Zea mays: one gene and its partners. The main gene of each other region encodes a partner of the protein of the gene in region 6 in a complex. Links are inferred from orthologs where the notes say so. Each region holds a gene or a part of one and is shown on either strand. Other genes may lie near its edges. The genes, in order: Mediator of RNA polymerase II transcription subunit 21, Mediator of RNA polymerase II transcription subunit 33A, mediator of RNA polymerase II transcription subunit 14, mediator of RNA polymerase II transcription subunit 8, mediator of RNA polymerase II transcription subunit 18, Mediator of RNA polymerase II transcription subunit 13-like and Probable mediator of RNA polymerase II transcription subunit 19b.

What was found.
Region 1: Mediator of RNA polymerase II transcription subunit 13-like (region 6) and Mediator of RNA polymerase II transcription subunit 21 share a complex: the UniProt entries of both Arabidopsis thaliana proteins name them as parts of the mediator complex. The link is inferred for Zea mays from reciprocal best matches to the Arabidopsis thaliana genes GCT and MED21.
Region 2: Mediator of RNA polymerase II transcription subunit 13-like (region 6) and Mediator of RNA polymerase II transcription subunit 33A share a complex: the UniProt entries of both Arabidopsis thaliana proteins name them as parts of the mediator complex. The link is inferred for Zea mays from reciprocal best matches to the Arabidopsis thaliana genes GCT and RFR1.
Region 3: Mediator of RNA polymerase II transcription subunit 13-like (region 6) and mediator of RNA polymerase II transcription subunit 14 share a complex: the UniProt entries of both Arabidopsis thaliana proteins name them as parts of the mediator complex. The link is inferred for Zea mays from reciprocal best matches to the Arabidopsis thaliana genes GCT and SWP.
Region 4: Mediator of RNA polymerase II transcription subunit 13-like (region 6) and mediator of RNA polymerase II transcription subunit 8 share a complex: the UniProt entries of both Arabidopsis thaliana proteins name them as parts of the mediator complex. The link is inferred for Zea mays from reciprocal best matches to the Arabidopsis thaliana genes GCT and MED8.
Region 5: Mediator of RNA polymerase II transcription subunit 13-like (region 6) and mediator of RNA polymerase II transcription subunit 18 share a complex: the UniProt entries of both Arabidopsis thaliana proteins name them as parts of the mediator complex. The link is inferred for Zea mays from reciprocal best matches to the Arabidopsis thaliana genes GCT and AT2G22370.
Region 7: Mediator of RNA polymerase II transcription subunit 13-like (region 6) and Probable mediator of RNA polymerase II transcription subunit 19b share a complex: the UniProt entries of both Arabidopsis thaliana proteins name them as parts of the mediator complex. The link is inferred for Zea mays from reciprocal best matches to the Arabidopsis thaliana genes GCT and AT5G19480.

What each region holds. Positions count from the first base shown.
Region 1 is NC_050099.1:37,998,873-38,002,606, forward strand, and holds Mediator of RNA polymerase II transcription subunit 21, read left to right. Parts: upstream 1-1,486; coding exon 1,487-1,780; intron 1,781-2,423; coding exon 2,424-2,495; intron 2,496-2,592; coding exon 2,593-2,644; intron 2,645-2,715; coding exon 2,716-2,792; 3' UTR 2,793-2,802; intron 2,803-2,976; exon of another isoform or gene 2,977-2,979; 3' UTR 2,980-3,234; downstream 3,235-3,734. Other genes in the region: putative X8 domain containing family protein isoform 1 precursor, read right to left, coding at 3,508-3,533, 3,629-3,734. UniProt on the Arabidopsis thaliana protein: Component of the Mediator complex, a coactivator involved in the regulated transcription of nearly all RNA polymerase II-dependent genes.
Region 2 is NC_050097.1:165,234,306-165,238,366, reverse strand, and holds the start of Mediator of RNA polymerase II transcription subunit 33A, read left to right. Parts: upstream 1-1,261; 5' UTR 1,262-1,409; coding exon 1,410-1,729; intron 1,730-2,361; coding exon 2,362-2,472; intron 2,473-3,209; coding exon 3,210-3,554; intron 3,555-4,061. UniProt on the Arabidopsis thaliana protein: Component of the Mediator complex, a coactivator involved in the regulated transcription of nearly all RNA polymerase II-dependent genes.
Region 3 is NC_050097.1:176,303,064-176,307,286, reverse strand, and holds the start of mediator of RNA polymerase II transcription subunit 14, read left to right. Parts: upstream 1-1,423; 5' UTR 1,424-1,917; coding exon 1,918-2,172; intron 2,173-4,223. UniProt on the Arabidopsis thaliana protein: Component of the Mediator complex, a coactivator involved in the regulated transcription of nearly all RNA polymerase II-dependent genes.
Region 4 is NC_050102.1:151,801,048-151,805,300, reverse strand, and holds the start of mediator of RNA polymerase II transcription subunit 8, read left to right. Parts: upstream 1-1,453; 5' UTR 1,454-1,587; coding exon 1,588-1,826; intron 1,827-1,979; coding exon 1,980-2,104; intron 2,105-3,086; coding exon 3,087-3,211; intron 3,212-3,313; coding exon 3,314-3,497; intron 3,498-3,629; coding exon 3,630-3,734; intron 3,735-4,051; coding exon 4,052-4,119; intron 4,120-4,253. UniProt on the Arabidopsis thaliana protein: Component of the Mediator complex, a coactivator involved in the regulated transcription of nearly all RNA polymerase II-dependent genes.
Region 5 is NC_050100.1:126,532,858-126,536,803, forward strand, and holds mediator of RNA polymerase II transcription subunit 18, read right to left. Parts: upstream 2,801-3,946; 5' UTR 2,411-2,800; intron 2,217-2,410; 5' UTR 2,207-2,216; coding exon 2,171-2,206; intron 1,404-2,170; coding exon 1,304-1,403; intron 1,231-1,303; coding exon 1,173-1,230; intron 1,105-1,172; coding exon 748-1,104; intron 646-747; coding exon 543-645; 3' UTR 279-542; downstream 1-278. UniProt on the Arabidopsis thaliana protein: Component of the Mediator complex, a coactivator involved in the regulated transcription of nearly all RNA polymerase II-dependent genes.
Region 6 is NC_050104.1:30,378,979-30,382,478, forward strand, and holds part of Mediator of RNA polymerase II transcription subunit 13-like, read left to right. Parts: intron 1-657; coding exon 658-736; intron 737-1,025; coding exon 1,026-1,334; intron 1,335-1,400; coding exon 1,401-1,487; intron 1,488-3,500. UniProt on the Arabidopsis thaliana protein: Component of the Mediator complex, a coactivator involved in the regulated transcription of nearly all RNA polymerase II-dependent genes.
Region 7 is NC_050096.1:177,736,240-177,740,353, reverse strand, and holds the start of Probable mediator of RNA polymerase II transcription subunit 19b, read right to left. Parts: upstream 2,801-4,114; 5' UTR 2,573-2,800; intron 418-2,572; 5' UTR 381-417; coding exon 350-380; intron 1-349. UniProt on the Arabidopsis thaliana protein: Component of the Mediator complex, a coactivator involved in the regulated transcription of nearly all RNA polymerase II-dependent genes.

The DNA of each region.
Region 1 (3,734 bases), on a different chromosome or scaffold from region 6:
ACGCGCTAATCTCCTATAGTCGTTTTGCATATCCCCTATGATATTTTGCATTTGTTCACGCTGTTCATCTACATAATTCTTAAGAGATTACAGCTCGTTTGTATTACTTACATTGGGGATGTCTGGCGTGGGTCGCAGTGAAGCCGGATCTGTCGCCCGATGTCGGACGACTTTGTTGTTCCTGTCCACTTTGAAGTTGGCCAAGAACCTCGCTTTTGCCTCCTGGATCATCTGCTCCTTGTGCTCCTCGAACTGGAGCTGTTCGTCAGCCGGCAAGGTCTCCTAAGTCGGCTCTATGATGTTGCTTGGGGAAATATTAGAGCTATCTCTTGAACCGGCCATTGAGGGCCGATTTGATGCGTCTATATTTGTGTCCCCAGCGGAGTCGCCAAAAAGTATGTTGACACCTTTTTGGAGGCGCCAATCACTTAAAAAAACCAGCGGCGGTGCTCTCTGGTCAGGCGCGGACGGTCCGCGGCACAGGACCGGACGGTCCGCGACTTGGCGCGAGGCGGTGGTGCTCTCTGGTCAGGCGCGGACGGTCCGCGACACAGGGCCGGACGGTCCGCGACCTGGCGCAGGAGCTAAGGTTCCCTGCCTGACGGCCGGATGGTCCGCGCCCTAGGGCCGGACGGTCCGCGCGTGCGCAGGGGCGGCGGGAGATCGCCGGCGGCGCCTGGATCTCGCTCCCGGGAGGGACCCCGTCGGGGAGGAGAGATCCTAGGTGGTGTCTAGGCTCGGGTAGACTGACCTAGACTTCTCTAATCGACGTAGAGTCGAGGAGAGGCGGAAGATTTGGGGATCGAGAGGCTAAACTAGAACTAGACTAGAACTACTCCTAATTGTACAGGAAATAAATGTGAAATATAAGTTGTATTGATTCGATTGATGATTACAAATCGGCCGTATACCTCTCTATTTATAGAGGAGGGGGCTGGACCCTTTACAAACTAATTTCCGAGCTTTTCCCGCGATTTTAGCTAACAAACATAGCACAAAACTCGGAACCCTAATTTACTCTGCGCACGCACGGACCGTCCGGCCCACAGGCGCGGACTGTCCGGACCGCGGACTGTCCGGCCTCCGTCCGCGCTCCTTTTGGTGCCAAACAATTTATAATTTTGTCACTCTCAGTTTTGACTTTATTATATTATCCCATATCTATAACTGATAGAATCATCTGTGTCTATAATTTAGGGTCCGACGTCATATTAATGAAGCCTATAAATGACAATGGTAAAATTGCCGATGGCTCAGCATTCTGCAAATGTGTGGTGACCGGAAGACTTGGTGGTATCCCAGGAATATGAGCGAGCATCTTTTGAATACCGGCACATACATTTTTTAGATCCGGCCTGGTCCATGCTACGTGGGCTGGATCCTGCAGACCCATTCCTGGATGAAATCGGCCTGCTACAATAAAGCCGCCGTCCTGCAAGTCTGGGACGGAGGAAGGAGAAGAGGGAGAGAGTGGTGGGGATTCGGCATGGACATCATCACGCAGCTGCAGGACCAGCTCGACGAGATGGCCGTGCTGGCCGTCAACACCTTCGGCACGCTGCAGAGGGACGCGCCGCCGGACCGCCTCTCCAGCAGCTACCCTGACCCGCTCAACCCCAACCCTAAGCCCGAGGACGACTCCAAACCCCAGGTCCAGGCCCAGCCCGGCGCGCCGCCGCCGCCACCGGCGCAGGCGCAGGCGCAGGCGCAGCCGCCCGCGCCTGACCTCACCGAGCAACCCAAGGCTATGAGCCGCGCCCTCGTCCTCGCGGCCAAGAAGGTAGGTACCCTGCCCCACTTCTCTTCTCGGTGTCCCCATCTTCTGGACCAAATGCCCGCCCGGTGATTCCAAAATATCTTTGTGTGGTTAAGTAGAAAGTTTCGGCTCGCTTCGTAGTTTTACTCGTAAGTCTGATGCTGCGAATAAGTGAAGGACCAACTGTTTAATTTTTGCTTGCTTGCCCGCGTTATGTGGAGACAAACAATGAAACCGTGTTGCCACTTACTAGTCTTCATATCTTGCTCCATTGCATAAGATAAGATGTTTATCCCAACAGTGTACAGAACAATCTTCATCTCTTGCTCCATTACATAAGATAAGATGTTTATCCCAACAATGTACATAACGTAGAGTCTTCATCTCTTGCTCCATTTCATAAGATAAGATGTTTATCCCAACAACAGCGTACAGACGTAGAATCTTCATCTCTTGCTCCATTTCCTAAGATAAGATGTTTATCCCAACAACAGCGTACAGACGTAGAGTGATGCATACGGGAGGGAGGGAGTGAGGGAGATCACTTTGTGTTAACCATGGTTGAAAACTTGAAATGTAAAGACTGGCAAACTTTAGTTCAAATTATGCTTGCTGCAGTTCCAACTTTTTCCCCTTAAATGAGGAACAATTATGGCCTTCTATGCAGTTTGATGCACTTGTTGCAGCAGTGCCACTATCATCAGAAGAGGATCAAGTGAAAAGAATCCAAGAGCTACAGGTAGATATCAGACAGTCAGATTAATTCATCGAGCACAGGATGGGCATCTGCCAAACTCCTACTCCAAATAAACTGTATGAAAATCTGAAATTTGCAGGCAGAGAATGAAGTCGTGGGACTGGAGCTCCAGAAGCAACTTGAAGCTGCCGGTAACACGATCCCCACTGTTTCTAGAGTTCTTACTATTATATGTCTAATTACTGATGTCATTGCGTTACAGAAAGGGAGTTGAAGCAGGTTGAGGTGCTGTTTAATGAAGCAACAGACAATTGCATAAATTTTAAGAAGCTAGATTAATTACGTTAATGTAAGTTGAGATGAATTTCTTCCTACAACTTATCAATGCACTGTCAAAGTCAATTTCTCTTTTAATTTGGCTCCAACAGTTACTTCTTGGTTTTGTATGTATTTGGCATCAAGTGTTGGAAACCGATCTAGCTCATAAGATATTGTGTTGACGTAAATCCAATGTCTGCCATAGCAGGTTTGCTGAAAAGAAACTGTTCCTGTGGATGGAGTGTGGAGGATGAATGCCAGTAAGAACTTTATATTCCGTCTTTTCAGATTCTCTACTAGTGAACAATAATTGCACTTAGCTTTTGTGTACTGGCATTCTGATCTGCCGGATTAGGATTGACCTTTGGTTGTAAGGTGCAATGTTTTTAGTATGAACTGACGCTTGAACTGTGGTGGTCTTTTTAATGGATCTGGCACCTGGCTTCCTCTGGGATTTCTTCTATATTTTGGTATTTGTTCAGTACCTGAGACCTTTGACACCTGTTCCTAAACTCCCCTCCAGCCACTGGCCTGGAGTAGAACTGTATTTGGGAAATAAAAGCACGGAAATTCTCTCTACAGTGCTCAGACATGATACTGGTTGGTTCTGCAAGGATACTCCCTGCTCACTCACACAGACACAATAACAAAACAAAGAGAAGGAAAAGATGCATCATTCCCCTACAGCCTTATTCATCGTCCGTTGAGCACAGCAGCAGCAGAGCAGCCCGTCGTGTCAAGCATATTTGCAGGTGCCAAGGCCTGCAAGAGGATCCAATGATCCATCATCCGGTGTCAGCTCCCCCAACACGGTTCACGGGCAATGAGACACTCACAGCAAGCAAGGAAGCACTCACTGGGGTCAGTGATGGTGATTATGCCGGTGCCGTTGAAGAAGCAGTTCCACGAGTTCCTCCCCCGGGCCTGGTAGTAGGCGTTCATGGCCACCGACGCCCGCGACAG
Region 2 (4,061 bases), on a different chromosome or scaffold from region 6:
TATTATGTATTTAAAATTTATGTTCAAAAGAACTTAATAAAAATATAATATTTTTATTTGATCACGATTGAAGTAAGAGTGTTCTCATTTGATTTTTATTGTGGTTAGCTGAGCAAACAAGGGGAGAAGTTGACGGCTTATGAGCACTGTGGCACACAGCTGCTGTGCTCGCTGGATAAAAAAATTTGGACGAATAAATAAATCAGTCACAAAAATAAAACTGGATGAGAAATAAATCAGGACAAACAAATCAGCGACATAAACGAAAAATATGGACAAAAAAAACAAATAAGTGACAAAGACAAAAAATATTAAAAACCACCCACCATGGGGCTCGAACCCGCGACCACAAGGTTAAGAGTCTTGTATTTTACCAATTAAGCTAGACAAATTTTCTATACAGAACAGAGCTCGGCGCCATGATCTATGGCGCCGAGCTCGGTACCACGTCGGCCCCACGACATTCGTTTGTGCCAACGCAGCACGTACCTCGGCGCCATAGCCTATGGCGCCGAGCTGTGTTACCTCGGCGCCACAGGCTACGGCGCCGAGTAAATGGTCAAAAATGACATTAAAATTTTCTAGGGTCTAAATGTGATTTTTTTTCCGATGAAGGACCAAAATGCAAAAAATTCGGAACACACGCATACCTACCGTCTTCTCCTACTAGTACTAAAAAGAGAGAGAGATTTGTTTGGCGGAGAGCGAGACAGAAAAAAGTAGTACCATATCTGCAGGTGAAGTGGTCAGGCTGTGTCACTGTCAGTTCCCACTCACTCACTGACGCCGTAGTAGGTGAGCGTGAACTCAACGGCCCAACTCCGAGGGCCGAGCCTGACGCATCGCCACAGTACCCAGCCAATCCGAACAGGACGACGGCCGGCGTGGCCACCGCGCCGCGAGTTGGGCTGCCGGACGGACGGTCGGTCGGCGGGGCCCGCCGCGCGCGGGCTGCAGCAGCAGCTTTTTTCCAAACCGCGAGCGACGAAGTCAAGGGCGCCGGGACCACGTGTCAACGGGTGGGGGCTGGATCACGGCAATGGCACCACCACGCCACTTGGTGTGGGACCACACGTACCTCCAGGATCCGCTGCGGCCAGTGGTAGCCTGGCGACTCCATTTTCTCTTGGTTGGAAAGCTCGGTCACGCAGAAGATCCTGAAGCGGCGGCCCCACCGCGAGGTGGTGCGGTGGGGGACTGGGGGGAGAGGTGGTTACACCAACGGGACGCCATCAGCATCATCGGCGATCGGACCACCACCAAACCAACCCAGCAGCACAGCACCTGCAGGGCTGCAGCAGACACCACTCCAGCAGCCTCTCTCTCTCTCTCTCCTCACCGGCACGGCACTCCACGCGGCGGCAGGAGCACCCACCGCCACTGACGGGCGGGGGGGAACACGCGCGGCCATGGCCACGTCGGCGCCGCCACCGTCCTCCGCGCCGTGGCTGGAGTGGGCCGCGGAGTATACCAAGGCGGCGCAGGCCGAGGCCCGCCCGCCGCCGGAGTGGGCGGCGCGGGTGGCGGCGGCCGCTGCGGCGGCGGGCGAGAGTGAGGACGTGCCCTGGTCCGCGGGGCTCGCGGAGGTGCTGGCGCGAGCGCTGTTCCCCGGCGGCGGCGGCGGCGGTGGCGGGGCTGCCCCGGCGGCCGCCGCTTGGAAGTACGCGGAGGCCGCGCTCGCGGCGCGGCTTGCGTCCCCGGCGCTCCTCCTCGCGCTCCTCTCCACCAGGTGCGGTCCGGTGCTTCGTGGCGTCGGCTTGTGCGTTGTGTCTGTGGCGTGGTCCGTGGCGGTTGGTAGGATCGGAATGGCGGAATGCAGCGCTTAGCTGTCGGGGATCTAAATCGAATCAGTTGCACCTCGAATGCACGCAAGCAGTTTTACGACGTGTCCGGTCAGGTGTTTGCCCGTACACGAGTTTTACCAGGAAGCTGACGTGCTTCGCCCCGATAATTTGAGGGGGCGGAAATACGCTGTGTGGCAGTGTCATGTGTCAATGCATTGCCAAATGACAATGTGGGTAGATCACACCATGGGAGAAATGCCTGTTTTAAGAATATATAAGCAGTTGGACACTCAGTCGGTAGGCTAATCAGGGCTTCACTGCAATCCTCGTCCAGTTTTTTTTTTCAAGAGAAACAGGGTCTTGTAATAGCCAACACGGTTAGTTTGACCTATGTTTTGGGACTGGAAAAGTAGTTAGATTAGCGTGTGGCAAATCCCACTTAGTACTAATTATTTCACTGGCTGGTATTGCTGTCGTGCAACGTGCTTGGATTGTGTGGTGTGTGACCTTATGATGGAGTTAGGACTTTTCTCAATGTTTATTCTTATGGACTTCGTTTGTTCTTCGGGTCCTGCAGGGTAATTCCTCACCGGCTTTCCAGGCCAATGGAGTATAGACTCTACCTTGAGCTCTTGAAAAGACATGGGTTCAACTTCCATCATCAGATGAAAGCAGCAAATTTCAGAAAGTGTGCCTTTCCCCTCTCTGACTGCTCCCTGTATTTTCTTAACACTATGCTCAAGTCAGTGGTCTGGAATGAGAATCAGAGTAATAGGTGTAGTGTTCAATGTAATTTAGCATTATTCTTAATGGCCTTAAAAATAAGCATTTCAGTTTCAGGTGTTTGTAATTGTAATAAGGTTTACACTTGTATATACACCTTGTTGTGTGATGTCTCTGTAGTGGATTAGTGGTCATATCTTAATGGCCTTAAAATAAGCATTTCAGTTTCAGGTGTTTGTAATTGTAATAAGGTTTACACATGTATATACACCTTGTTGTGCGATGTCTCTGTAGTGGATTAGTGGTCATATCTGTCATTTCCAACTAAGGGCCCCAACTTTTATATGATGGAAAGTCTACTTGTCTTGCAGTAATGCATGCAACTTCTCTTGAATTTGTCAAGGCGGCATTTATTGCCGAAATTCTTCTGGAAATTTTCTTATATATCTTTTATACATTACTTATGTTCTTCACTTCCTAATACTTTGCACTGTTATTGCTCTATAACTTTAAATTGTTTTTTGGAAGTAAGAGTGTATGTGCTTCCATGTGGTTTTTAAGCTTGTTCCTTGCACTGTTATCTATTCATGCACTCTATCCCTATAGAAGTCTCAAATGCAATTGAAAAAAGGGCCTGTCTTGCAGTGTTAAATTTGCTGGAGCAATAAGAGATCCTTGCTAAAGCCTCTCTAATGTTTGCAGGATCATGGATATAATAGAGCGGAATCTTAGACTTTCCAAGATATTTGGCATCTCTACATGTGAACCAGGGGTTTTTGTTGTGCATTTCATTCTTTGTATTATATGGCAGTTGATTGATGTTGTTCTGGATGATGAGGGCCTACTAGAGTTAACTCCAGAGAAGAATGCTCAATGGCCAACAAGGCCTGAAGATGTGAGCACATTTGAAGGAACTTTTACTGAACAAAGAACTGAGAAGATCAAAAAGTTACAGAAGATGAACACTGTAACAACTATGGAGCTCATTGAGCATCTTCTTCGCGATAAAGTAATTACTCGTATCCTATCATTGGCACGCGAAAACATGTATGTCTTTTCAACTTGAAGTACTCTTTTACTGAATTGTTTCAGGTCTTTATTTTTGAGCATTTGGAAATGATGAATTCATCTTTTTGCTGATTGGTCATTAGTAATCTGTTTTCAAATATATTAGTCAAATAACAAACTAGATCTTCATCTCATAGGCTCATGACCTCATAAACTTCACTCAAGCTTATGGAGGAAGCCTTGGTTTATTCCTGTTTGTGTGGGATTTGGGTTTGGGGAGCTACAAATAATTGCTCAAGATTTTGCCAGTAACATAACCAATGTATCATAGAATATTCTGTGTATTTTCTCTAATGCAAACATTTAAGATAATGTTCTAGAAGCACTTAGGGTTATGCAAAAGGAAAAAAGTACAACTGTCTATGCTTGTGGTATTTTATTCGCCTTACCTCTTAAATAGCCAAGAAAAGTTTTGATAAAAACGGCAGCCATGGGACTCGAGCTTTGTCATGATCTGATGAACTGATGGGTGAATGTAAACATCAA
Region 3 (4,223 bases), on a different chromosome or scaffold from region 6:
TGTCCTTCGTAACCTTCGTCCGAAGATCATTATATCCTAAGGGAGATAATGTGATGAAGGACAAAGGTCTATAACCATTAACATTTGTGTTGCCTTGTTCTTGATTCAAAGCTTTTGAGAACAAGTGCCAAACACTCGTCGAGTTCGAGCTTTTTTCCCAGCCCTAGCCACGGCCACGGTCCTGCCCGGTCGGCGGCGCGCGCACGTGTGGCAGTCCTTCATCCTTTTCTCAGCTTCTCAATAGATGCACCAACGGACCACCTATTTAAGTTGATTGAATTGTCCCTTAAACTTCTGGTATTATACTAAAGTACTAGTACACCGTAGCATTAAAATGGGCCTTTAGCATTGACTATTATTGAATATTAATATGGGCCAGACCCACATTAATTCAACAAATGACACTATAAGGTGACTTATGCAACACTACCTCCTTCCAAGAGCACAATAGTTGGAAGCTCTCTTCTCAAGTTACAAACAACACTTTCAAGGCTTTCTCTTTTCCATATCAAACTGTGTCATGAGCAATTATGCATTTGTAGGTATCTTGAAGTGAACTTTGTAATTCCTTAGCACCAATGTGTGGTTTCTTCACAAGGATAGGAAGAGCTTTTAAAGCTACCCAAACACTTGTTAGAGTGCTAGTCCTCCTCCGTCTATTAGATGTACAAATGTGATATCATTTAGCATAATCATCTATAAAAATAACAACAAACATCACTATAAAGGCAATAACGTAAATAGATAAATAAATGTAAAGTTTTTGATATACATAACATACAAATATAGTCGGTGAATCATACCTTTCAATTATTGCATTAATGCTCCAAAGACAGTCACCTCCTCGGCAATAACCTCTGTATTTCTTAGGGCATGTACAGTGGTGTTTAATATGGGGGCTCTTAAGGTGTTTTAGGGGGTTATTTGCAAAAAAATCTTAGAGCCGTCTCTCCGTGAAGAGACGCCTCTGGCTCGTAAACCAAGTAACAACAAACGCCTCACTTCCCACTGTACGAATTTGTCGTCTGTTCTATCGATCTGATGCTATACAAATACATTTAATTCTGTATTTATTAACCGACTACGTTTAGAGACACTCCATTGTACAATAGAGTCTCTTAGTTGTCTCCTGTGCTTAGAGAACCGTTTTGGTGTCTCTCCACTGTACATGCCCTTAGGGCATGTACAACCCAGATACGACTGCACGGTACTTCAAGTATAAGACACAGCTAAAACACAACACAATACAGTGGTCGTGTCTAAAACGTGTGTCTTACCATATTCATTGTACCAATCAGAGCATTCAATAAATTAAAGTGACCAATCAGCTAGCCTCCTGTCTCGAACATAGAGCTAAGACACTGTGTCTTCGTCAAGATACATGTCTTGAGTTTTTTTACATTCACCCCCCTAGACACACTCTAAGACACAACTTAAGATACTCATTGTACATGCCCTTAGGCTACTAGCCCAGGCCTCCGGTTCCGCGTGGGCCCGTCGACTAGGGCGCACTCGCACCCTCCGCCGGTCCTGAACTCATCGATCGCAGAAGCGAGAGAGAGAGAGAGAGGAGGCCGTACCCACGCCGCCGCTTCGCCGCCGCCGACCTCCGTCTCTCGCTTCCACCATCTCTCTCCTTTTCACCCTCTCTCGCGGCCACCCTCGGTCCCCTCCCTGAGCCTTACCCTTGACTGAGTGGTTTCCAATTTCAGTTCCACTCCCTCTTCCACCACTATTCACGGGGAGGCGCGGCGAATCCTGCGAGATTCCTCCCGGCCCACGCGTGCGCACGTTGGCGATACAGGGCTAGAGTTTCGTCTCCGGCGCTTTGCGGAGTTAATTAGGAGAAGGAACTGGAGAATGTGTAGGTGGTGGGCGCTGAAACCCTAGCTGTTCGGGACGGGCGTGCGTGCGGGGATGGCAGGGGAGCTGGGGCAGCAGACGGTGGAGCTGGGCGCGGTGGTGCGGCGTGCGGCGGAGGAGTCTTATCTCGCTCTGCGGGAGCTCGTGGAGAAGTCGCAGGCGGAGGCCGAGGGGAAGGGCATCGGCGCCGGAGCCAATGGCAGCTGGCAGCGGTCCGACACCGAGAAGAAGATTGACTTGCTCAAGTTCATCACACGCACACGCCAGCGCATGCTTCGTCTCCACGTCCTTGCCAAGTGGTGTCAGCAGGTGATGCCTAATTTCAGTCTTTGCTATTTCTCTTGCTTGTCTGTCTCCTTGTCATAATTCTGCTGAGGTATGCTAAGAATTCAATCTGACTGGTGTGAGTGCCTAATATCCTGTTTTAGTTTGGTTTAGTGGCATTGTCTCACCTATCTAGCTCGAGTGGCATGTAAAGAAGGATATTCATAGTTGTTGTCTTATTGCAGTGTAGTGGGATAGTGAAGATTGGTGATTGTTGATGAATTGTGCCAGCATTTTTGCCCCTAATTTTGTAGGGTCTGTACTCCAGTTCCTAGTAGGACACAAATGATTGTTTGGTGGACAAAATGTAATCCAGTTCAATCTTGGCATACTCATTGATTTGTTTATTTTGTTTTGGTGCAGTGGTATTATGAAAAAGCTCAATTTGTTTCGCACTAGAAACTTATATTATTTTTCTGGTGCTGTCATGGTGTGCTCTAGCATAAACGACGAGTGAAATAAGACCGTTTTACAATGTACTTGAAATAGTGCGAACTGCGAACCACCATGCACACATAGATCAGGGGAATGTAAAATCAACAAATATAATTTAATAATTAAACTATTAAACCATTGAAAATGCATTATATATCACGGGAGTCGCGAAAGGGCCTCTAGCCTAGTGGTTAAGGACTTCCGAGTAGCACCTCCAAGTCCTGGGTTCGATTTCCCCCCGGGAGCGAATTTTCAGGCTTGGTTAAAAAAATCCCCTCGCTGTGTCCCATCCGCTTTTGGGTTACGATGTCCTGTGCGCCACCCTCCGGTTGGGCCGTTGCAGAGTGGACAGTTGACGCCGGCCCGTTAGTGATTGGGGGCCAGGGTTCGGGGATTTTCTCGGCCGGGACCATTGTTTCGGTCTCTTCTTAATATAATACCGGGAGGGCGGTCTTTCCCTCCCCGGCCGAGTTTTTTTTTATCACGGGAGTCTCATTGATTTATATTGCTTCCATTTCAAATTGTAATATTTCACTATATGGTTTGAACTGTGGTAATGTGGTTGTTATGCTGTCATAAATATTTGTTTCTAGCATATATTTGGTGCAAGCTAATCCTAGTGCAATCGTGCAAGCCACTTTTGTTTTGTAACAAAATCAAGATGAAGTATTCTGATTTTTATTAGATTGCTCATTATCTGGTTCACATCCATAAAATCCTTTTCTTTTAAATTTAATTGACAACTTGACATATAATTTCTGTGCTACAAATGTAATTAAACGTAGGACAGAAAAATGAGACTGTCTAGTAAAAAATAAGTTGACAAGGACAATGAAAAGTTTAAGATTTCCTTTGTCCCAACCAAGCTTAGATATAGCACTGAACTAGTCCAAAGAGCACTTCCTCAACGGATCCAGAAGTACTGAGGTTGATTTAATGGCATTTTACATCATTCCACTGAGCCAATGGATTCCTTTAAATATGCCCCACTGTACCTTAATTTTGTTGTTATGTCAGGCTGTCAGCTGTGTACCTAGTGCTGAAAGCTGAACACAATGTGGGTTCTGGAGAAGGGGATTCTCAACAGCCTCACCCTCGCATAATTATGCAAGGAGGCTGTTTCAAACATGGTTATTAAAGCGGTAAAACGTTAAAACGTTATGAACCAACTTTTCAACGTTTAAACGTTTAAACGAACGTTGAAACGTCTTTTCAGACTTGACATAGAATTTCAAATATAGAATAAGTTCATACATAAGTTGAGTTCACAAACCAAATAGCATTAGCATAAAAAGAAACATATCAAGTTCAACAACACAAGTTCAACCACACAAGTTACAACTTTTATGCATGATTAGTAACCATCATCGAACTCATCGATATTAAGACCATGAGCATAGCGCCTTGATCGTCACCATCTTTTCCACTATTGCTTCCTTCAATTTCATCTTCCACATCAAGATCATCAAGAATATATTCCTCATCATCTTCATTTGCTAAATTAGTCTCCTCTTCCTCAAGGTCTTCATTCCTTCTCACACACCCACCACCAGCTCTCCTAGGAAAATTACGACCTCTGAGATGTGCAGATGCACCAATAG
Region 4 (4,253 bases), on a different chromosome or scaffold from region 6:
TCACCTTGCAGTACTTACAAATGGCTCCATACCATACCATCTTACCATTGACAAGGTGAGTCGGTTCATCAAAGTCATGCCACACTTTAGATCTGAGAGGACACTTACTGGAACTGGTGGCGGCGGTGCTTGTGCCGGTCGGTGTCGGGCTCGTGGATCCTGTGCCCGCTTGACCACCGGTGGCGGCACCAGGGACATCATCATCATTATCGATGTTGATGGCAACACTACTGCCAAATAGGATCCGGGCATCCTCTGCTTTGTTATGATATTCTAGCCGGTGCTCCTCGTCCACAACGGTCGGATGAAGGTCATCGTCCATGCCGTAGACAGATGGCTCCTCGCCGACGACTGGGGTCCCTGGACAGCTACGTGGCACCGACACAAGCGATACCTAGGAGATTCATCACATCCATGGGATTCCAATCAAGATCTAATACACAAGAGAAGGGGATGGAGATTAGGGTTCAGGACATAACCTGCGCAGCCGGAGCACCTTAGTCGCCTTGAGAGCACCACCGCGAGGAGGAACACCTCTGCTAAGAGGATGTCAGGAGCCGAGGATGGGGATTACTCTATTGGGATTCGGGTGTGAGGAAGGGAAGATGATGAGCGAAGAGATGAGGAGAGTATAGATGTCCAAACAAGCCGTCGCTGGTAGCCGTCACCAGTAGCCGTCGGCGGGAGAGGCGAGATTTCGTCGGTCACCAAGGAGCAAGAGGTAGGAGCCACGGGAGAAGGGGAGGGGATTAGGTTTAGGGTTTCGAGCGAGCGAATGCCGGGGGGGTGCGTCATGGGGCAGGGCCGATGTGTGTTATGCGGCGTGGAACGGACAGACGCCGTGTCTGGCTCATTTTCGTGCTGGGTCGGGCCGAGCACGACGTGCCGGCCTCAAAGCCCAAGCACGACACGTCCACCGTGCCGGGCTGTCCCGAGCTCGATGCGCAGCGAGCCGTGCCGGGTTGGTACCAGGCTTCGGATAAATTTGGCTGTCCGGCCAATATAGACATCTATACCTGTTAAACTGCTAAACAAACTTAGCATCATCAGGCATCGGCTACACTATCATTGTAAAGTCCGTTTGCTTGTAGGTTGGCTTTAATTAGCCCCAGCTCCTCTGTGTGAACTAGGAGGCGTACGTGCCATCAAATTCTGTAAAGTTTGAAGCATGCTGCAGGCAGTATACTCGTGAGGATGACACAAAAAACACATATTTAGTGATACCAATTTAATGGTGTAAATACCACCGTCTCTTTTTGTATAAGTATATTAACTCTAAGTTTAGTTAAATAAAAAATAGTTTAATATATGACGACTCTGTATGCTCATCTCATCTAGGTATACATTTTGTTAGGACTTCTCCAAATTTTGAACTCTGCATTATGAACTTTTGGATTCTGGACACATGTTTTGTCGAGTGCAGAGAATTGACTTGACTGTCCCCCGGCCCTCACATGTCAGTCTGAGCCAGACACGCAAACTGGTGGTACCGCCATAACGATCTGAAAACATCCTCCATTAGTCCGCCTCCGGCCACCCCCTTTCATTCCGCCGCAACGCCACCGCCCCCAACGCAAGTTTCCGGCGATGGACCCCGCGGCGGCCGCGCTAGGTGCAGTACCCGCCGCTGGCGCGCCACCTCCGGGCGCAGCCGCAGGGGACCAGCAGGCAGCTCCCCGGGTTGAGCGGCTCAGCGCGGGGGTGCAGCAGCAGTTGAACCTGGAGGGGATGCGCGCGCGCGCGGTGGGGCTGTACAAGGCCATCTCCCGCATCCTCGAGGACTTTGACGTCATCATACGCACCAATCCCAGCGCCTCCCCCAAGTGGTAACTTCATCCCCAGCCCCGCCCCTCTTATTGGCTATCGGCTGATGGCTGGCAGCAGTGGATTCTAGGGTTTAATTAGGATGCCTCTGCTCGTGTGGCGTCGCTGCGCGATTGCTTACTGGTATGGTATGGCTGCCTCTGGGTGAATTGCAGGCAGGACGTGCTCGGGCAGTTCTCGATGGTGAGCATGGAGCTCTTCAACATTGTGGAGGACATTAAGAATGTGTCCAAGGTGTTTGTCGTGTACCCCCGGAATGTCAATGCCGAGAATGCAACAAGTATGCCGTTCTGAGTTTTTTCCCCTTTATGGATATGCATATATCTTTTGTTATCTGTGTCAATTTGGTTATCACGTAATGGTATTTGTTTTCTTAGAAATCATAATTAATATTTAGTTGATCTAACATAGGGGAGTTTAACATCTGTTGGTTATGTTCTAGTTGCATGGTTTACTGATTCAGTCATGAAATAAATCATCTCCAGTTCAGGGACAACAATTTCCAAAGACATTAAGAGTTCTTTGCCCTTGTTTGTAAAAGTTTGGTTGGTTCAATCAAGACATGAACAACAACCTCTCTGAAAGATTATCAATGGAAGCATGTAATTTGGGAAGAAATTATCTGATATGAAAATTTGCTCAGTTTATGTGTTGAAGTTTTGCTATGTAACCAACTGTATTGAGTCCAAAGGAATCCATCAAACATTTTCCCTTATTTGACCCAACACTAAATAGTCTTTCGTTGTTCATGGTCCAGTATTGGTGAACACCTAATGAGATTATGATTTTCAACACATGATGAGATTATACGATTCATTTATGCTTCCATATATTTTTAGAAAAAAACCCTATGATTTTGTTTCTAAAGTAAGGATGAATGATGACTACAAGTATGACCAGTTGGGCTAATACTTTGCTGTGCCGTTTCTTTGGGGTCTTCTCACAAGTTTTATTACACATGAAGATTCAATCTAAGATTTTTCTTACTGTCAACTGATGTTTATTTCCAGTTGTCCACTAATCAAAATTCTGAATTAGGTTTCAGACTTTTGAAGTTTTCTACTAGCCATGGCCTTAATTTCATGGCAAGCTATTCTGAGATAAATAAACACAGTGCAAATGACCCAACAAAAATGTATTGGAAATGGTCATTCTAATTGTTCTGATGCATTGTCATCTAGTGTTCCCATTTTGCATACTATCAATGGTTTGTACAGTTATTTATTATTAGAGTTGCAGTATAATCCTTATGAATATTGCAGTACTACCTGTAATGCTGTCGTCAAAACTGCTGCCTGAGATGGAAGTTGAGGAAACTACTAAGAGAGAGCAACTATTGTCTGGAATAACTAATCTACCTGTGCCTACACAGATTGAAAAATTAAAGGTGACCAATTTAGTATGAAAAATGAAAACCTATAGCATGTGTTGCTAGCTTGATTTATCGGCTATCTATTAATTAGAATGAACCTGGTACCATCCCTTTCAGGTTAGAATAGACATGATTGGGAGTGCATGCGAAACTGCTGAGAAAGTAATTGCAGAATGCCGTAAGAGCTATGGGCTGGGAAGCCGTCAGGGGACAAATCTTGGTCCTACATTGGACAAAGCACAAGCTGCAAAGATACAGGAGCAGGAAGGCCTACTTAGAGCAGCAGTAAATTATGGTGAAGGTGAAAGGCATAGTGCTTGGTCAATATTAATAAAAAATGCAATTAGATTTCCAAAATAAAGAGTCCTTTTTACTTCTATTTTGTGTTACAATTTCAATACTTATAGCCTTACTAAAATTATCTGAATGCCAGGATTACGGGTACCTGGAGATCAGAGGCATCCACAATCTCTTCCTATCCATCTGATAGAAGTGCTTCCTTTAGGAGACGGTGCACAAAATTTTGGTGATAGTTCTGGTATGTAGATTTTCTTGTGTATCTAAACTCTCTTAATGAACCTCTCCTCGTTTTGAGTTTTAACATCTGTCGATTGTCTCATTTTCATGCGCTATAGACCGAACTCCTATTGTGCTAGGATTAGTGTTTATCCTCAATTGCTAAAATCACGACCATTTGCATTGAGATATGTGCTGTAAAAGTTCCTTATATGTTTAACATTTGCCATATTAATGGGAGATTTGTGCCGTAGAAGTTCCTTGTATGCTTAACTCTTTGGCATTTGCATTGGAGATGTATTTGACAAATGCACATCTAATTTCTATTTGTATTTGCAGGTAGTTATCCCAAAAATATGTCAACATTTGCACCTAATAGTGTCAACAGCCAGGGAAATCAGATTCAGGTTTCTGTTATAACTGAGTTATTATTATGATATTAGAAAGGGTCTATCTTCTATTGTTATCACTCTTTTGAATTGAAAACCTCTTTGGTTCATTCTGTTTTTATGACATCAGTCATCTTCCCATGGTGTTGATA
Region 5 (3,946 bases), on a different chromosome or scaffold from region 6:
CAATCTTAAGTGTCATACTAATCTCCTGTCAACGTCTCGACCGATGGGTGCATCAATGACTTTTTAATGGGTGGTCTTTCCACAAAGGACATGCCACTAATATTGATAATGTTTACCATACGGATTTTGCATATCATAATGATATTTGTCGTTCCGTTTATATATTTCATACAATTTTTTTACTTCCGTCGCAACGCACGGGCACTCACCTAGTTGAAAAATATATACACATGAGATAAACTTCTTTTTGAGAAAAGAAATTATGGTTTGGATTTTTGAGAAATTTTAATATTGGTAATACTAGATTGTTACACCCTGCAACTACAAGGCAGGGCATTACCCATCAGCAATCATGCAACCAGTCAAACCAAGAGCAAGGTTGGCACAACGATGTGTCAGACATGGACAACACTAGCAGGCAAAACTGACTGCTCAAATGCTCGGCACGAAGAAGGCCACCTCATTAGCCACGCCCACTCATCTCAAAGAACGGACTTTGGCTGTCCTAGCAGCAAGAACGGACTTTGGCTGTCCTAGCAGCATTACAAGGTTTTGCCACCGCCACTTGACATGAGTGAGGCAGCAGCAGCGGCTGCTGTTGGAACGATTCCTGTCGAGTGTCCTGGTTTTGACAGATGCAGCAGCCTGCAGCAGATTTCCAAGGATTATTAAAACCAAAAAGGTGTTTGGTTCATTCTTATATGTTTTCTGATTGTTGCCTCGGAATTCAAGCTTTGGGGTACTTACGGGGCAAGATATTCACAGAACGCAGTGACAGCTGAAACAACATCATTGTAATTATCAGCAGCAGCAGGAGCTGTGATTTCCACTAGCTGTATGGCAGGAGTGACTGGCGTAGCTTCATCGGTTGCATGGAGCCTTGACATCTTGTTAGCAGATGTAACAGTGACAGTGATTTGGGCACCTCGGTGGAAACGAAATGCAAAACCGCTCTTCAAGAGTTCATGGTCTAGCTTGTACCCTAGGGTGTAGAAGTAGTGCAAGACGTTCTTGCTAGCTTTGCTCTCCACAACTGTACGAACCAGAACTGAGATTTGCTCCGCACCAGCACCTCTCATGGCACCACCAACATGTCTTATGGTCCTACAATCTTGTCACAATTAATGATAAACATAACAAAAGGTAGACTTTCAGCAGCTTGTCTCGGTTACCAGGATGGTGTGGGCTGAGCTAAGTCACACAACAAACGAACCTCCGATGGGACAACACCTGTATGATTGCAAGACGTCAGTTAATACGCCACATGTGTAGGAATGGAGGAGTAGACTAATCACAAACTAACCTAGATTGGGCCCACTTTTAAGGCAGAGCTCATGCACCCTAAAACGCTCTTTCGGGACACCAGAGAGTCCCTGGAGTAGAACCTCAAGAGCATCGACATGCTGCAAAATGGAAAGATCAAACAAAGGTTAAACTAATGGCAGAGCAGTACAACAAAGAGCAACTTACATTCTGTGCACAACACATAAACTAGAACATACCAAAAAATTAAGTTCCTCTCTATTGTAAAAGCACAAGGATAGATCATATGTTCCCCCAACTGTATATTAAATGTTACTATTCTGTTAACATGCTGAGAAGAAAAAAAACAAATGAAATCAAAAGCTCCAGAAGTAGTGCCTTAAAGCGCGGAATAAATTGTTGACATTTAGTGGTCTACATGATCTATCTATTTATCACTTCAATAAAATAAACTTTTGTTAGTATTTATCTGTGATGGAGTAAACAGAAAAGTGACCACCAACTGGCAACTATGGATAGTGGCCATACCTAAGGGAGCTCAACTGAACACTAAAATGAAGCTAGATTGTATGGTGCGTAAGCTCAACATTGTGCACTGTACATGTACATCAATATGAGATTGTTTTGTCCACAGCAACGGAATTCAATTAGTAACGAAATGTTCAACAACAAATTCAATACTATAAGTATATACTTACAAATAGATATTAACAATCTATACACCATTCAAAATACTTATCAAATCTAGATGCAAGCAGTGAGAGGAAAAGTTAATGTCTGATCTGCATAACAAAATAGACTGCACTAACGATGATGAAAGAGCTCCTATCTTTCAAATGTTAGTGGAATGCGTGAAAATCAAATTTTACATAAACCATCAGTGCCAACTTGCATTGTGGCACAATACCTGGTTCTCGATGATTCCCTGCACCACGCACTCCATCGATCTTCTACTGTCCCACAATGATTTTGCACCCAAAAAAAAAGAATCACGTTAGTGGATTTGTTATATGTGTATCAGGGGTGGACCAGTATGGCAGTAAAAAACAAAATTAGAAGTTAGTAGACATCAAATAGTTAGGTTAGAGTTCGGGAACTCGTTTTCGCACAGCGGGTAGAGAGAAGAAGGGGGTGGGAGTGGGAATACATTGAGAGCGTTCTTCGCCAGCGAATAGATCAGCGAAGGGCGTGGTGCCTATGGTGGCGACTGCGGTAGCCCGTCCAGTCGTCGCAAAGAGAGAGAGAGAGAGAGAGCGCGCGCGCACGCGGTGTGAAGGTGACGGATGCGGCAGCGGCGGCGGCGGCTGTAGCCCAGCTAGGGCCTGATCTGGGAAGAGGGAGGCTCGATAGGACTGAGGCACTGTCGGCGGTGCGAGCCGTGCGGCGCAGCGTCGACAGGAACAATGGTGGACGCGACGCGAGGAGGGAGACGGGAACGACCGGACGAGGGAGCCAGGCAGTGGACGGCTGGGCTTGAGCAGGGAGGTGGGCTTGAGCTGGGAGAGTTCACAGTCTCGTTTGGAATGATCCAAATTTCGTTTCGTTGACTAATCTTTTATTTTTTATATTGTTATATTTTGAATCAAATCCATTTAAAACGGACTGAAATTTGTTTTTTTGGTTAATAGCGAAAACGAAAAAAGTATCAAAATTTGGTGATCTCGGACAGAAAAGATAAACCGTGGGCTTGAGTCAGGATTGTTCAGCCTAGTCGCGGTGCGGGGGTTGTTCAGCCTTATTTGTCACTTTTTTTATTTTAATTTTGATAAGACCTAATAGGTTACTCTAGATATGTTATCACTTTACCTTTTTATTCCTAAATCACTTGATAGTTTTACTATTTCTTTACATGGTTTTGGGTTAATATTTCATTATATCCATGTTCCAATTATTTTGTTATTTTATTTTTATTCATGTCAAGATTATTATCTTTAATTGGAACATAGAGCTTAACTTGAGAAACATGTGTCACCACAAGAGAGGAATGAGACCCCTTGACTAACTAATTAGGAAAGCTAGTGGAAAACTACCTTACCCGAAAGGGGCAACGGCAGTAAGAGAGTTACATGCAGAGAGGTTCTCGGTTGATTTTGCTGCGATGGCGGTCAGACGGGGGATTCTTGCAAGTCGAAATCTAGTGGAACTTTATAAAGGCCTCGTAGTGTTGCCCTGTCTCGCTTCCTTGGTAGAGGTGTATGAGAGTCGCGATCCCTTGGTAGATGGGTAACATTACTTGTGGATACAGGGTACAGCCTCTGTAGAGTGTAAAACTGGTATACTAGCCGAGCTCATGGTCATGAGCAGCTCAGAACTGTCGCATGATTAATTAATGGAACTTAAATTCAATTTGTCATTTGCATTGCATGTGATTACTTATTAATTTTGTTCTATTATTTATTATGGTTTGGTATTTACTTACACTTAGTAACTGCTAATAAAATTTTGACCAACTTATAAAAGCAATGCTCAGCTTCAACCTTTATTTTGTTGATCAGCCTTACACTTCACATGAACTCTCACCTTTGGTGAGTTCATGCACACTAGTTTCCCCACAACTTGTTGAGCTATGATCATATGTGAGCTCACCCTTTCTGTCTCACACCCCCATAGGAGAAGAACAGGTGGTTCAGGAGGAGGCACACAATGAGGAGTTTGATCTAATCTAGGTGGCATCTCCCAGTTG
Region 6 (3,500 bases):
TCTCCTTTACAATTAGAAACAGTTACCTGTTATATCTTAGAAGTAGTCCCTCCATTCTGGTGTTTGTGGTTTTGTGTGTTTGTGGTTTTGTGCACAGATATTAATATAAAATTATAACATATCCTGAAAACTACCATGTTAAATTAACTTGCCTTGTCAACCACGGCAAGGCTTCAGTCACCAATGAAGAAATGAATTAGGCATTGAAAAATGTAGCAAACACTCAATATGGTAGGGTCTGCAGGTATATCTCTTCTTGAAAGGCTATAATAATAAACAAAAAGGTACACTTTTGCCTAGCCACACAACAAAGGAAAAGTATGAGGATAGTAATTAGTTCTTCACCGCTCAATTTACAAGGATGTCTCTCTCATGTTTGTACCATTGAGAGAAGAGATTTAGCTTTATTGGAAGTGTTGATTCTTTAAACAGGACAAGTATGTGAGTGATGTTTGGAGTCGTGTCTTGAAGGAAGCCATTTATTTCTAAATTACTTCTCAGTTCTCAAGAATAAAGAAGATTTTTACTATTGTTTACTATATTTTCTACACTTGACTTGTTTGATTAATGCGTAATTTCACTTTTGTCTGTTGTTTCCACCATTTATATAAGTTGTAATTTGTGTTTATTTCATGATTATTGCATTGAATGTTGCAGTTGTTGTTGCTCCTAGTGGGATGCTGGGTAGGCTTGTCGGTTGTTGTCCAAGTGATCTTGTACGACAAGTTTATTCAAGGTATTTCAAAAGAAGTGAAAATTATTGTTACATTAAAAATGTATTCTGCATCTGTGTGCGAGTATTCTCAAAAGAAAAATCATTAATCCCCACTGGTGAGCAGTGTGCCTTTTGGCCTTTTGGATGGTTGCAATGTAATCTACAAGCAAGCATTTGTATTAGTTTCATGAGATGTTCTTTTATGAAAATTATTTTGTATTCAGTATTTCAGTTTTTTTAAAGATGTCCATATGTACAGATTGTCACTTTGACAGTGTTGTCTCACATTAAGTTCCTTCAACAATTGCAGCAAATCATTGACGCCTAATTTACCAGGTTTTAGTCAACCTACTGTATGCCAGCTGAGAGGCCAAAGTTACTATGTTGAAGTTGCGCTTGGCTTTCCAGCTGCTTCAGCCAAAAAAGTTTCTGAGTTTGAGCATATTCATATAAAAAAAGAATTGGATCCAGTGAAGGATGCTATGGTCGGTTCTGATGGACAGCGTAAGGTAGAATCACCTGATGGCCTTCCAATTCTTGAGAGGACATTTATTTACCCACCTGAAGCTGTTTTGGTACCTATGGTCCATCAAGCATTTGTTCGCTTTTCGAGCAAACGGTACTAGTCTTACACTTTTTCTTGCAGTGATTATAGCGGACATGGCTTATGTTTTGTTATTTGCAGAATGTGTTTACAGGGCTCGCTGGGAAGTTCATCATGGGAGGCATGGCCATTCTGGAATTTTGCTCCGTCTTCTTACTTTCAGAACAGGTCAGTCTCAAATTATTTGTTTCTTTGGCATGCTGTATCAACAATACTACCAAGAATTGATTATTCGTTGTAATTTGTAAACATGTTTGTCCACTCACCATGTTGTCTATAAATTGAGGAGCTCCATGAAAATCAGCACTTACAAAGAAAATTTTGCACTTGGTGCCTCACAATCATTTTTTTCTCAAAAAGCGCAGGAGAACTGCGCCCCATAATATAATAAGAAGATATAGGAAAAGGTCTAAAGAAGACCAGAGACAAAACAGCTTCCTTACGGAGGCCAGTAGCTAGCATACAAAAAAGAATCCATCAAAGATAAACAAGGAAACACCCTAGAAATCAGTTAATGGGGCAGCCAGAGAGCATAGGCCTTTTGCCCCAGCTGTTTCCCAACGACTTCTCATCAGCAGATGCCAAGATTGACGATAGACTTGGCGTCCTTCCGTCGAAGACACATTTATTTCGATGATTCCATATTGTCCAAGCGCCCAGAATGATAAGGGAGTCAAGACCTTTTTTGGTAAGGCCAGAAACCACATCTGAAACCTCTTCCCACCAACTCCAGAAGGAGGTGACAGTCGACTGAGAGGCAAGGGCGTGCAGCCCAAGTTTTCTCAGAAGCTGATAACCGAAAATTCTTGAAAAAGAACAAGTCACAAGAAGATGGTCCAAAGTTTCTGCCTCTTGGTCACATAAAGGGCATTTCTCAGGGTGGCTTAACCCTCTCTTAGCTATTTTTTTTCTTCGAAAAACGCAGGAGAACTGTGTTTCATTATATTAAGAAGGAGAAAAAGGTCTAAGAAGGCCAGGTACAACAAGACGGGCTTCCTTATGGAGGTCGAAAAACCAGAAAACCAAAATAATCCATCCGAGAACAGCAACCTACTACTTGTCTAAACCCCCTCCGAGACTAGCCCTCAAGGAGAGGGGCAGACAGGCAGGGAAGGCCTTTAGCCCCAGCCATTTCCCACATCCATCTTTCTTCCAAAGCCATCCTAATGGCTAAAGACACATTAGGGTTCCAGTTATCGAAGACACATTTGTTGCGATGGTTCCAAATAATGGAGGCCCCCAAAGCAATAAGAGAATTGAGCCCCTTTCTAACAAGACCTCTGACCGAAGAAGAGGCTTCTTCCCACCAGCTCATGAAGGAGGACAAACCAAGTTGAGGGCTAGCATTTGAAGGTCGAAAGTCCTCAGCAACTGAAACCAGAACATCCTTGAGCAAACACATGAGACCAGGAGATGATCTAAGGTTTTATTCTCTTGATCACACAAGGGGCATTTCAGAGGGTGATCAAGCCCTCTTTTGGCCAACCTGTCAGTGTCCAGCACCTGTTATGCGCAACGAGCCAAAGAAAAAAATCTGCATTTAGGCGGGGCCCAGGTCTTCCACACCCCGGGATAGTGGCTGAAATAGACAGATCCCATGAAGAACCCTTTATGAGCCACTTTAGCTGAATAGTTACCGTCTGGGGCAATACTGAAAACATGTTTGTCTTCAATAGAAGGCTGTAACACTATTTCAGAGATAAGGTTCCAAAGCTAAAGGTAATCCACCAAAACTCCCACCGAGAGGGCCCCTTTGATGTCAGAGATCCATCTTTTATTTAGGAGAGCCTCCTGAACAGTTCTTCTTTTTGTGATCCTCCTGGGAATACACTGAAAAAGCCTGGGAGCAATGTCACATATTCTCTGCCCTTAGATCCATTTATCAGTCCAGAATAGGGTGTTGGCGCCATTTCCAACTTCTGAAACAAGAACAGTGGAGAAGAAAGCCCGAACCTTATTAGGCACATGAAAAAGGAGCTGCGCTCAGGGACGAGTTGGATCAGTTTTATGCAGCCATAACCATCTCATACGAAGAGCCCAACACATCTCGGGTAGACTGGAGATGCCCAGGCCTCCAAGCTTAAGAGGACGACAAACTCTCCCCCAAGACACAAGACAATGCCCTCCCTTAGCCTCTTTGCGTCCTCTTCAAAGAAAGCCTTTTCGGATTTTGTCAATAGT
Region 7 (4,114 bases), on a different chromosome or scaffold from region 6:
ATTTTAACAATTTCATCTCTGAAAATTGCTTGTCCACCAAATAAATATTTAGAGTGAAATGAACCACAGGGGGGGGGGGGGGGTAAACTTCCCCATATTCCCATTTGGGTCCATGAACTCTCAAAGTAATCAGCTAGGTCCTCCGGCTTTTCAAGTGATTCGTTTGAAGTGTAAATTCAAGTCCATGGTTGGACCTAGAGTGACCATAAAATGAACCACTTGAAAAGTTGAAGGATCCGGATGATAAATTTCAGAGTTCATGGGCTTAGATGACAATGCAGAAATAGTTTAAGGACCCGTGGACCGTGGTGCATTTCATTCATTTATGTGAGTCTTAGTCAAACCCTACCATTTCCAAACTTCTTGTCATCAGGGTCCATCAGATTGCAGCTTGAGCTATGCAAAGAGCATCTTCACCTGAAGTTCGATTACAAAAAAAATGTAACGACAAATGTGCAAAGGTAAAGTGAACTGGTTCTGCAATGAACAAACACGATATACACTACTACATATCTACACCAGTGTTATTAAAACTACGTTTAAACGATGTTTAAACTACGTTTAAACGTCAAAACTCTAATTAGAGGTTGAAACAACGTTTTAGCGTTTTGGCGTTCTAAACTCTAAAACGCAGTGTTTTTATGCATTTTAGACCATTAGCTACTTTTGGGCCCAGTCTATTAGTTACTTTTGAAGTTCAATCCAGCTCATGGGTGAAGTTTTGGTAAGCCACTAACCTCTCTATTTTGGTATTTAACTTCATATTATTGTCTGAAATTATGATGTATTGGTATTTTTCCTGTGTTGTTTAAAACTACGTTTAAACAAAGTTTAAACGTTTAAGAGTCAAAATTTCACCCATGAGCGTTCAACGTTTTACCGTTTTAATAACCTTGATCTACACACCACATAGGCCTGTTAAATCCCATGGCCAAGCAAACATCGATAAGACAATTCATAACCATATATGGTGTCAACATCAAAAGTAATGAACATGTTTTGCCTGTCTTATTTGAAATAATATGGAATTACATATCAATTATCACGTGTAAAGTGTTGTGATTTTAGCAAATCATGCGTGGGAGTTAACATGTATGTTTGTTTTGTAGATATGTCTGTGTGTGTACTGCGACTTTAGCAAATCAAACATGTCTGTGGGATTCCACTCACTCACACCCAACCAACCTCGTGTACAGTTACTAGTGATAAAGGGGAGAAACTGCCAAGCACCATAAATCCACAAGTGGCAAAAAAAAAGAGCACTCGAGAGAGAACACACCTACATAAAGGATCACTGACCAATACAAAATGATTCTGACAATGTACGTAGGATACCAGGCAATCATAACTACTACGACCAGAACCCAGCATCGCAACCAATGGCAATAGGCAGGAAGCAGAGGCGGATAGAGCTCCTGGGCAGGGCAGGCGTGTGCCCGGGCTCTGGTTTGTGCCGGTGCTGCACATCGAGTAGGTTCGTGCATAGGTGGATCAAGTGATGCCACTTCTGCACGGGATCAAGTGGACATCAACAGCTTGTTGATCTGTCTCCTCGTGGGTCTGCTTCTGATCATGGACTTACGGTCCAGACCTAGGAAAAGACCGTGGCCCAAACGTGACATGCAAATTACGTGACGCTCCCAGCCCAACACTGCTATCGTTTCTCAATTTCTCAATCTAAACTTATGTAATGTGCATTTTTGTTCTTATTAACTAATTATAGTATTGTAGCGTTATTACTTGTTAGTCCGGAAGATTTAGACTGTTCAATATTTTTTTATATTGACATCAAGTGATTGGGACATGAAGCCTTGTTACAAATATGTGACTATCCTCCTCAAATTGTAGACCGAATTAGAAGATCATACATATTGAAGGACCAATCCAGCCTATTATGAATTATGATATATTATCTATCGTTACATCTCGGAATGCAAACCATTTAATATCTTCTATTTTTGTGAACACTTTTTTGTTATCTCTTTATAGTTTATTTTAAATGTTTGCATACGTATTAGGTAATACATTCAGAAAAATATTTGTCGGCGTCAAACAAATTTATGCATGTCATTGTATATATGCAGTTGTTCGTAGTTATTGGTTGGTCATAGACTAGCCTAGGCTCTTTATGAATCCTGGATCCGCAACTGGCAGGAAGCATGGCTAGAAGCTCAGTTGCAACACATGAACTCAGTTGGTCCAGAAACAACCCCTGGAACAGCAGTGTGTCCAAGACAGCCCCTCCCCCTGGAAACACCAGTGTATCCGGGATGCAGGGCATGGGGATCGAGTCGGGGCACTGATTATAGAGAACACCCGTGCAGCCAGCCAGGATGCACCGAAGGCAGATAAAGTGAGCCTGCCCGGCTGCGCCTGCACGCTGGATACTACGAGCCTAATCAGTAATCACATTAGAGGCGGGTGGAGCACTCGAGCGCGCTAAGTAGGGGAGCACCGCAGCAGCGCCACGAAGCGGGCGCGCCTGAGTGACCGGAGGTTATTAGGGTTCTCAATTCAAACTGCCGCAGCAGTGAGGAAGCCCCGCACACCGGAGCAAGCTTGGGTAACTCACCGACATAGGGCGGAACGATCTCGTGGCGGGGACAGGTCTACGCGCCAGTCCAGTTGCAGTAGAGGGCGAGGGCCGGGCCGGGCCGGGCCGGGGACGACGCCTCCCGACGGCGGGGTTAAGGTGGGTGGCGGGGCTGAGCCCCTGCGCGGTGTGGCCCGTCCGTCGCTGGCAGCGAGAACCGCGGCGGCGGTTGGGTAGCGGGCGGGCAAAAAAGGGGAAGTGGGAAAGGAAGGATCGGGAACCCCTACGACCCCCGCACTTGCCCAGATGTGGCTTCTTCTCCATTTTTCCAAAAGAATTTTAGAAATAAAATTGAAATTCGGATGTTATTATTTATCATATTCTAACTTGAATATTATTATAAATATTATCATATACAAATAATTTTAACTAGAATACGAGTATAAATACTACTTTATCCATTCTTTTTATTCTTTTTTATTTGTCATGTTTTAGTTTAAAAATAAACAAATCGACGACAAATATTCGAGAACGAAGGTAATATCAAATATAAATATAATAATATGAATATAAAATAAATAGTTTAAATTTAAGTTTCCATCTTGGAACATAGTGTCGCAATATATAATAATTTTGTTTCATCGACGAATTTATAGTCAATAAAAATTTATATTTCAAGTAAATTATAACTATATTGTATGTATATATATATATATGTTATAAGCATATATGATTAATAAATGAAGATATATTCTTTAGCAATGAAAATAAATACATTAATGCATATAGATATAACGTATTTATTACATAGGTAATCTAATGTGATTATAATTAGTCTTTTAAAATTAAATTAAATTTATCATTGTGTAGTATTCTGAATAATGTACATATTTTTTTCTGGTAGCGTTTTTAAAATTAAAATCATTTGTTGTTAGTGATAATAATACATTTTAAATGGTTTCGTCGATTTTTTTTTTACGAGTATAGATAGTGTTGGATATTCCACGGTTTCGTTGAATACAAATCTATAGTTGGTTAGAGAAAAATATTGAAAGTTGAATTCCCATACATATATTTGATATCTATATTAAAATCGAATGCGAAAATTGACGAGTACCAAGGAACCGAGTATCTTAAGGAGACCTCATCGAGCAACCAGCAAGGCGGGATGGACGACCAAGGCCCCCATCGAACAAACCAGTGAGACGGGACGGACGACCAAGACCTGTCGAGCAACCCAACGAAGCGGGACGGATGGTCAAGTCCCCGCCGAGCAACCCAGCGAGACGGAACGGACGCCTGCGTCTCTGACGACCAAACCCGCAAAAGGAAAGGGCTGACCCGTGTCGGTGTTTGTTACCCGACCGCACACCATGGGGTAACCCTCGTGATGCTTTTAGGGCAGGACGGCGTCGTCGATCATGACTCGATGGTTCGTGCGGTGGCACGACAGGAGAAACACACAAGCTTGTTCAGGTTCGGGCCGCGCGAGAGGCGTAACACCCTACGTCCTGTGATGGTTTTGGTATTGGGATGAGATTACAAGTTGTGGACTTTGAGAATGGTGGGCTAAGGTGAGAT